2 linked regions of the Mus musculus genome follow. The protein of the gene in region 2 purifies or fractionates together with the protein of the main gene of each other region. This does not show direct contact. Links are inferred from orthologs where the notes say so. Each region holds a gene or a part of one and is shown on either strand. Other genes may lie near its edges.

The links.
Region 1: the proteins of Strap (region 2) and Snrnp70 purify together in Homo sapiens (affinity purification with mass spectrometry; 3 studies listed by BioGRID and IntAct, with this or other methods). This does not show direct contact. The link is inferred for Mus musculus from reciprocal best matches to the Homo sapiens genes STRAP and SNRNP70.

The regions. Positions count from the first base shown.
Region 1 is NC_000073.6:45,375,718-45,378,820, forward strand, and holds the end of Snrnp70 (U1 small nuclear ribonucleoprotein 70 kDa), read right to left. Parts: exon of another isoform or gene 3,092-3,103; intron 1,727-3,091; coding exon 1,639-1,726; intron 1,562-1,638; coding exon 880-1,561; 3' UTR 737-879; downstream 1-736. UniProt on the Homo sapiens protein: Component of the spliceosomal U1 snRNP, which is essential for recognition of the pre-mRNA 5' splice-site and the subsequent assembly of the spliceosome. SNRNP70 binds to the loop I region of U1-snRNA.
Region 2 is NC_000072.6:137,733,663-137,737,918, reverse strand, and holds the start of Strap (serine-threonine kinase receptor-associated protein), read right to left. Parts: upstream 2,838-4,256; 5' UTR 2,565-2,837; coding exon 2,453-2,564; intron 1,590-2,452; coding exon 1,454-1,589; intron 1-1,453. UniProt on the Homo sapiens protein: The SMN complex catalyzes the assembly of small nuclear ribonucleoproteins (snRNPs), the building blocks of the spliceosome, and thereby plays an important role in the splicing of cellular pre-mRNAs.

The sequences.
Region 1 (3,103 bases), on a different chromosome or scaffold from region 2:
GGATGAGAAGAAACAGCACAACCCCACCCCATAACCATCCCCTAATGAGCTATTTCCTCCCAGTCCTACCTCTTAAAATCTATCCAAATGACACTAGCAGTTTGAGACAGATGTCAAATGTGGCACATGAAGGCAATGTTAAACATCAATTCCTGTCTCTAATGCCTGTCACAAGTTTTCATTGCCCCAAGATTTCTACAGCAAGATGCTCTTAGTAAAACCATAAGCCTACCTGCAAATGTGGCAAACACAGGAATGAGTGAAGTTCCCTTTCAGGACCAGCTATCTGTGCTCTCATGATGTAGATGCTTCTCAGCTCTCTGGTGGTATCTGTCCTTGGTTATATGTAAAGACTTATAAGCCTTAAGCAGCAGATTGGAGTACTATCATTCAGCCCTCAATGGGACTACCTTCAGCCTTTCTTCAGGACTGTGCCAGGCTGGCCCCAGCTTCCTCAGGGCCCACCATACTCAAAGCTCTCCCAGCTGCCTTCCATCCAGAAATGTGTGGGTACCAACTGCTGATGGCTGGCATCCTGCCTCTTTGCCTGCTGTTCTCTCACTTAAAGATGCAGCCTGTTATGAGAGCCAGGGCTTCCCTCTCACTTGTAAAGCAGCTACAGTGCCTGGGAGAACAGCCTCTACTTCAGGTTATAACACGTGCAGTATACCAAAGGGAGTTGAGCAGTAGGAAGTGGCCTTTTGGAAAGACAGCAAGTGCAGTAAGACATCACATGCCCACTATCAACAGAAAATTAATTTTATTTTTAAATCCAAGGGACCGGATTAAAAAAAAAAATCTACCCTCAGAGGCAAGCCAAGGTGGAAAAGGCTAGGAAGGCAGACAGCAAGATTAGGAGCATGTCCACTACAGGCCTCTTCATTCGGGCGCTGCCTCCATCAGATATCCATTCTCTGGGGCCATGTACCCATCACCACCCTCTGCCTCCATGTACATGTCTCGACCATCACTACCTAGCCCTTCCAGCCCATTGTCCTGACCGCTGCCACCCCCACCCCGGGCCTCATCCCTGCCCCGCTCACTGCCCCGCTCCCCACGCTTGTGCTCTCGATCCCGATCACGGTCTCGGTCCCGACGACGTTCCCTCTCACTCCGGTGACTACGTCGCCTCTCCCGGTCTCGATCCCGGCCCTTCTCCTCTGGGCCATCAGGGCCTTCAGGGCCAAGCTCTCCAGGAGGCCCATCATCAGGAGCTCCATCACCAGCTTCAGAGGGTTCAGCCATGTCGCCGCCGCCACCACCACCACTGCCACCACCGCCACCACCTCCTCCACCTCGAAGCTCCTCTTTTCGCTCCCGTTCCCTGCGTGCTCGCTCCCGGCTCCGACTGCTTCGTCGCTTTCGGTCTCGGTCCTTGTCCTTGCTACGCTCCCTGGACCGTCGCCGCTCATCCTTGTCTCGACTCCGGGAGCGCCTCCTCCGGTCCCGAGAGCGGGAGCGTCTCCTTTCTCTCTCCTTGTCTCGTTCTCGGCTTCTTTCTCTGCGCTCCCGCTCGCGGTCCCGGTCCCGGTCTCTGTGTGGAAGCGGGGAGGGGCCCGGCCTATATGAGGTTAGCACTGTGTGGCAGGGCACCCCTTGTGACTGCCCTATCCCAAGAAACCAGATGCCCAATCTTACCTCTCATCATATCGGGAAGTGTCATCTCGGCCCGAATGCCTGATATTCACATCTGCCCCACCTCTTCTGGTACCACCAAGGCCACCTCCTACGGGCAAAGGAACACAAGGTCAGTGGAAACAGTACAAAGGGGAAAATCTTAAAGGGGCCTATGCAGCTGACAAAAAAACAAGCACCCCTACTAACTGCCATGGGGCATAATCTCCTGCCAATCACTTCCATGTCCACTGGTTGTAGGATAGCCATGTTATCCACAAGACTTTTACAAAGTGCTAGAGCTGAGGACACCCCAACAAGAACCTTCTTGACTCCCAAGCTGTCCATCTTACCTGAGGCTTGAGGTTTTATTTAGGCTAGTCCACTACCAATTTGTACTTTGAGCATAAAGTCCAAAGTGTGAACTCATAGAAAAGCTGAAAGAAGCTAGGTTTGGGATTGTACCCCTTTAATCTCATACTTTGGAGCAGAGGCAGCCTGGCCCACAGTGAGCTTCAGGTCAGCCACTACGTGGTGAGACGAAACAAAACAAACCCAGAAGTTGGAACACCTGCCACACCTAGATTCCCAGGGTACACTACATTTCCAGCCTTCTCAGCTGCCTCGTGCTCCCCACCTTAGCCATGTAACATTTACCTTCTGAGGAGTGAGCTCACCTTCCTTGTCTCTGTACCTTCTACTTCCCTGTCAGTCTCAAAGCACCAACTCAGACCCTGCCCTGCTCATCACACTATAGCACGCTCCAACGAACTGTTAGAGGCCATCAGTACCTCCCCAACTGTTCAAAGAAAGCACTACCACACCTCCCCAGATTCTGATGTGCCACGAATACTTCAAACTTGCAGATTCAATACGTGGTCTATAAAGGTGATTTTCACCCAACCAATAGCACAAGGGAGCAGGTGACAGTCTTATCTTTCAGACAGGGATCTACTAATGAGCCACTTGCCCCAGTGACTTGGCAAGGAGGGTCATGTCTCAGAATCCCATCTGCCTGTGGTGGTTTCCTGCACCATCCACCTGAAGGTTTAGTGAGGTGGGGCTGTGTTTCACACAGGAGCACAGGCAAAGCGAAGAGGTCAGCCACATGCTAGGCTGTTAAACTAGGTATAGATAACAGGTTGGACTACTGCAAAGCAGGACCCAGACTTCCAGCTGCTGGATCACAGTCTAACAATGAGCTAGGCCATTATCAATACAAGAAAATGTCTATAGTAAGAGTTCTGTAATTTGGGTTGCTTAAAAAAAACAAAACAAAACAAACAAACAAAAAAAACAGGAAACAGCTGCGCAGTGGTGGCGCACGCCTTTAATCCCAGCACTCGGGAGGCAGAGGCAGGCAGATTTCTGAGGCCAGCCTGGTCTACAGAGTGAGTTCCAGGACAGCCAGGCTACATAGAGAAACCCTATCTCGAAAAAACCAAAAAAACCCACAGAAATATTATAAGAACATGTTTTTGTTTTCATC
Region 2 (4,256 bases):
CATCCAACAACCATTTATTTTTAATTTGCTTAAATCAAAGATGGCAACACAAGCCGGGCGTGGTGGCGCACGCCTTTAATCCCAACACTCGGGAGGCAGAGGCAGGCAGATTTCTGAGTTCGAGGCCAGCCTGGTCTACAAAGTGAGTTCCAGGACAGCCAAGGCTATACAGAGAAACCCTGTCTCAAAAAAAAAAAACAAAAAACAAAAAACAAAAAACAAAAAAAAAAAGATGGCAACACATTGACAACTGCTCCAAAGTGTGAAATTCTTTTAAACAAGGAATCAATAAGGCCATTTTCACTCTCTAGGCTCTGGTCTACTAGCATATACAGCAGCTCTTAACACTGCCTTTGGGCCATCAAGATGCTTTTGTAGGCACACAAGCTGACAACCTGAACCAGAGCCCTCAACCCATACCCCCAAAATTGTCTTGACTTCCTCCACACAAACCCACACACACACAAGAGTAAATTAAAGTTACCTGCATTGATTTAAAAGCACACACAGGTTAGTAACTATACATCAAAAAGTATATAAAATATGACACATGCCTCAATGATTAAAGAGAATCATGTCAGTTTGATAATAGATGCAAAACCCAAAGTAAAAACAGGGAAAGTGTATTATGGCAATGGTTTAGTCCATCTCAGACTGTATCAAAAGACAAAGTGAACTGAGATGAGACGATGTATCCATTACTACAGTGACTGAAGACTCTGTATGTGTGTGTGTGTGTGTGTGTGTGTGTGTGTGTGTGTGTGTGTGTTCCAAAACTCAAGCCTGGCCAGTGTGATCCAGACCACCCTCCTGCCTGCTAAAGACAGTCTCTTGGCTGCCTTCTGATCATTTTGGCTCTTCCAGCACCAATTCTGCCTGCATGCTGCCATGCTTCCCACTATGATGATAATGACCTGAACTCTGAAACTGGAAGCCAGCCCCAGCTAAATCTCTAAGAGTTACCTTTACCTTGGTCATGTTGTACCTTCACAATAATAAAACCCAACTAAGAAAATGAGGATCTAATGAAAATTAAGAATCTTTCAGACAGCCATCTTTAAAACCATAGAAAACAGAAAGTAAATTTGAGGTCCGGTTTTAGATTATCTAGAGCCAGTAATAAAGCTGAGTGAAAAGGTGCCTGGAGACATCACTGTATAGCACTCACTAAGTGTTCAAGACTATCTGTGAAGGACATCAGCAGCACCCATTGTCCAAGCTGTATAGCTCACCACGTTCCTGGTCTCGATGAGAGAGACATCAGTCCTTGAAACATCTCAAGTCACAAGGATGCTCAGAGAGCCAGGACAGAATCGTGGTGAGATCAAACACCATGTACTGTCTATAGCATCCTCGGAGTCAGAACCTCATGTCTAACTGTGAAGTTGGAGAATCTGGCCATGTCACCACAAAATTCAAACAGAATGAAGTTAGCCATTTTTGTTACACTTACGCTGTGAAGTCTGCAGCTGCTGTCGCAGCTTTGGTGGCATCCTTATTCAATGTTGCACCCCAAACAGCACCTTTATGACCCAAAAATGTTCCAATCCAGTCTCCTGTATCTCCCTGGCGGAGCATGGGCTTGCCATCTAGAAAATATTTTCAGACATCTGTGATTTAGAAGCATGCAACGTAATACCAAATCCTGAGCAGCAAACTACTGGAAAACCGTTGTTCTGACTGCTCCCCCCTACTCCCATTAAGCCGTGGGGGCGTGGGGGAGGGTGTCCCCATCCTGGTCTGTGCATATGGTCTCAGTGACCTAGGGACTAAGGAGTTGTAGCCACTCTTCCTGGGAAGCATAAGCAATTTTGGGACCGAATGAGAGGCCTCCCTCATCACCTTTGCAAACTCGGATTACAAAGCAACTATAAAGACCTGGGAAACGCTCTTCCACAAGACCTGATTCCGATTCCCAGCGCCCACACGGAGGCTGACAACAGCCTCTAACTCCGGCTCTGGACAATCTGATGCCTTCCTCTTGGGGCACCCCTTCACACAGGTACAAGCATGCATAGAGACAACACAGGCACACATAAATAAAAACTTCTGAAAAACCGTGGGCTGGATGCCAGTGACATGCGGTGTCAAAACGATCTAGATAGCCGCTTTTTACTTTGGACCACATAAACCTAACGTACACTTTCGTCGGGGAAAAAAAAAAATGAGGCTCACACCACAAAGGATGAAACAATGAGTGAGAGGACATAAAGGGCACTCCTCTCGGCCTGGCCTAATTTCTTCTTCCCGTAAATCCTTGGCAAACACAATGTAGTTGTGTGGGTAGAAAGGCGAGGTGTTGGGGAGCACTAACAACGGTGGGGAGGAGGGACGCATAAAGCCCGGCCAGGGGCGACCCTCTAGTCCCAGCAGCGCGATGGCTGTCGCTGGCAGCCACGACCCACCCACCCGTCGGCACTCGGGAGCCGCGGCCGTCGCGGGCTCAGCTCACCTTTGCAAGCGCTGATCAGAAAGTAGCCGTAAGGCGTGATGCCGCTGAAGGCCAAATCCACCACGGGCCGCGTGTGGCCCGAGCAAGTGAGCGGCGTCTGCCTCATGGCCATGGCGGCGGCGAGCGCGGTGACGCGGAGCGGGGACCGAGGGTCGCGGTCGTCCTCCTTCTCTGCCGCGGCGCCTCAGGCTGCTTGAGGCCCCCGCACTCACGCCGAAGGAGGCCGGCTCCAGAGTCCCCGCGACTCGCGGCCGCCAAGGGAGGGACAGGGAGGGAGGGAGGAGGGGAGGGGAGCGCCGGAGAGCCGGCCTGCCGCCACTCACGGTCCCTACCGGTAGCGGCAGGACGTGACGTCGCCCGACGCGTCGCGTCAGCCGGAAGTGACGACTGGCGGGAAGGCGGTAGTTCCCAGCAGCAGCGCGAGAAGCAGTGTGCGCAGGCGCGAGCTCGGAGACCGAACCCATGCTGCTCTGACGACGTCAAGCGCGCGGCGTCCCGTTGCTACCCAGTGTTGGGAGCCGCCGAGTCCGTCCCTTGTAGGATGCTGTTGTAGAGTTGTAACCTTCTCATTGCTAAGCTACAGACACACTTTTCCATAATCATCTCACATCTAACTGCCTACCCAGTAGCAACCATTCTGTCGCTCTCCTTCCCACCCCCCTCCCGGCATACACCGTCACAACTCACAAACAGTAATGACTTCCCTAATAGAGTGGTTATGCTAACAACATTTATATCCTGGTGACAGATAAGTGACTGGCGTTTAGTGGATGGCCAGCAAATGCTTATTTGCAAGTGGGAAATATTCACTTAGTGCTCAGCAAGGATCCGTGACAACCTAACTGATAAGGGCTCTTTCAGTGGCTCTAGCAACTATCACTGCGGCTGGGGAGGGAGAGACCCCAGTCTACTGGGCTAAAGTTCTTGCCATGTAAGCATGAAGTGTGATACCCAGTACCGACAAAAAAAAAAAAAAAGCTATACATGGTGTGATACATGCTTGGAATGCAGCACTGAAAAGATACCAATCCCTGCCAGCCAGCATAGCAATCAGTGAGTTCCAAGTATGAGTGAAAAACATCTCAAAAACAAAAGAGTGTAGATGCATCTGGACCAGTGAGCCATTCTTCACTGAGAGGCTCCTGAGAGGAGGGACCGAACGGATCAGAAATAAAGAAGACAGGAAAGTTGGGGTCAGGAGGTTTTCCCTAAAACTATGTCTTATGCTAAGCTAATTTATTAAGATGTACAGCATCTTATATACTGTTTGTATGGGGAAAATGGAACAGAAAAACCTATCATACAGTGGGACGAAGTCATCAGAAAGCTAACCAAGCAGTGTTGCACAAAAGGAACACAGAATACTTCATGTGTGCCACAGACCAAGCACACACTGGCCTGGGACTGACTACTCCAGTCTCTTTAGGAGGAAAAGTCACGTTCTCACAGACTGAAATCTTAACTCTGGGGGGCCTGGTTCCAGACTTTGCTATGTCTGACCCTGGTCAAAGGCATAGAGTTGGTATCCCCTTTCCCCTTTCTGAAAGCCTCTTGTATCAGCCTGGAACCTAACAGTGAATGGCTCCTGGGGCTCCTAAGACTGACTTCTGCCTACCACACATGCACACACTACTTTTAAAGTGCATATCAAGCATATGTTGGCATTATAATAGACACTGTAGAAGTGACACAAATCCTCTCTACATGAAGAGATCTATGGGTGGCAAAAATGCTCTGTAGATCACTGTGAAAGAAATTCCACAAATAGGCTATCTGAAAATAAATGAAGGTGGATGCCTACTTC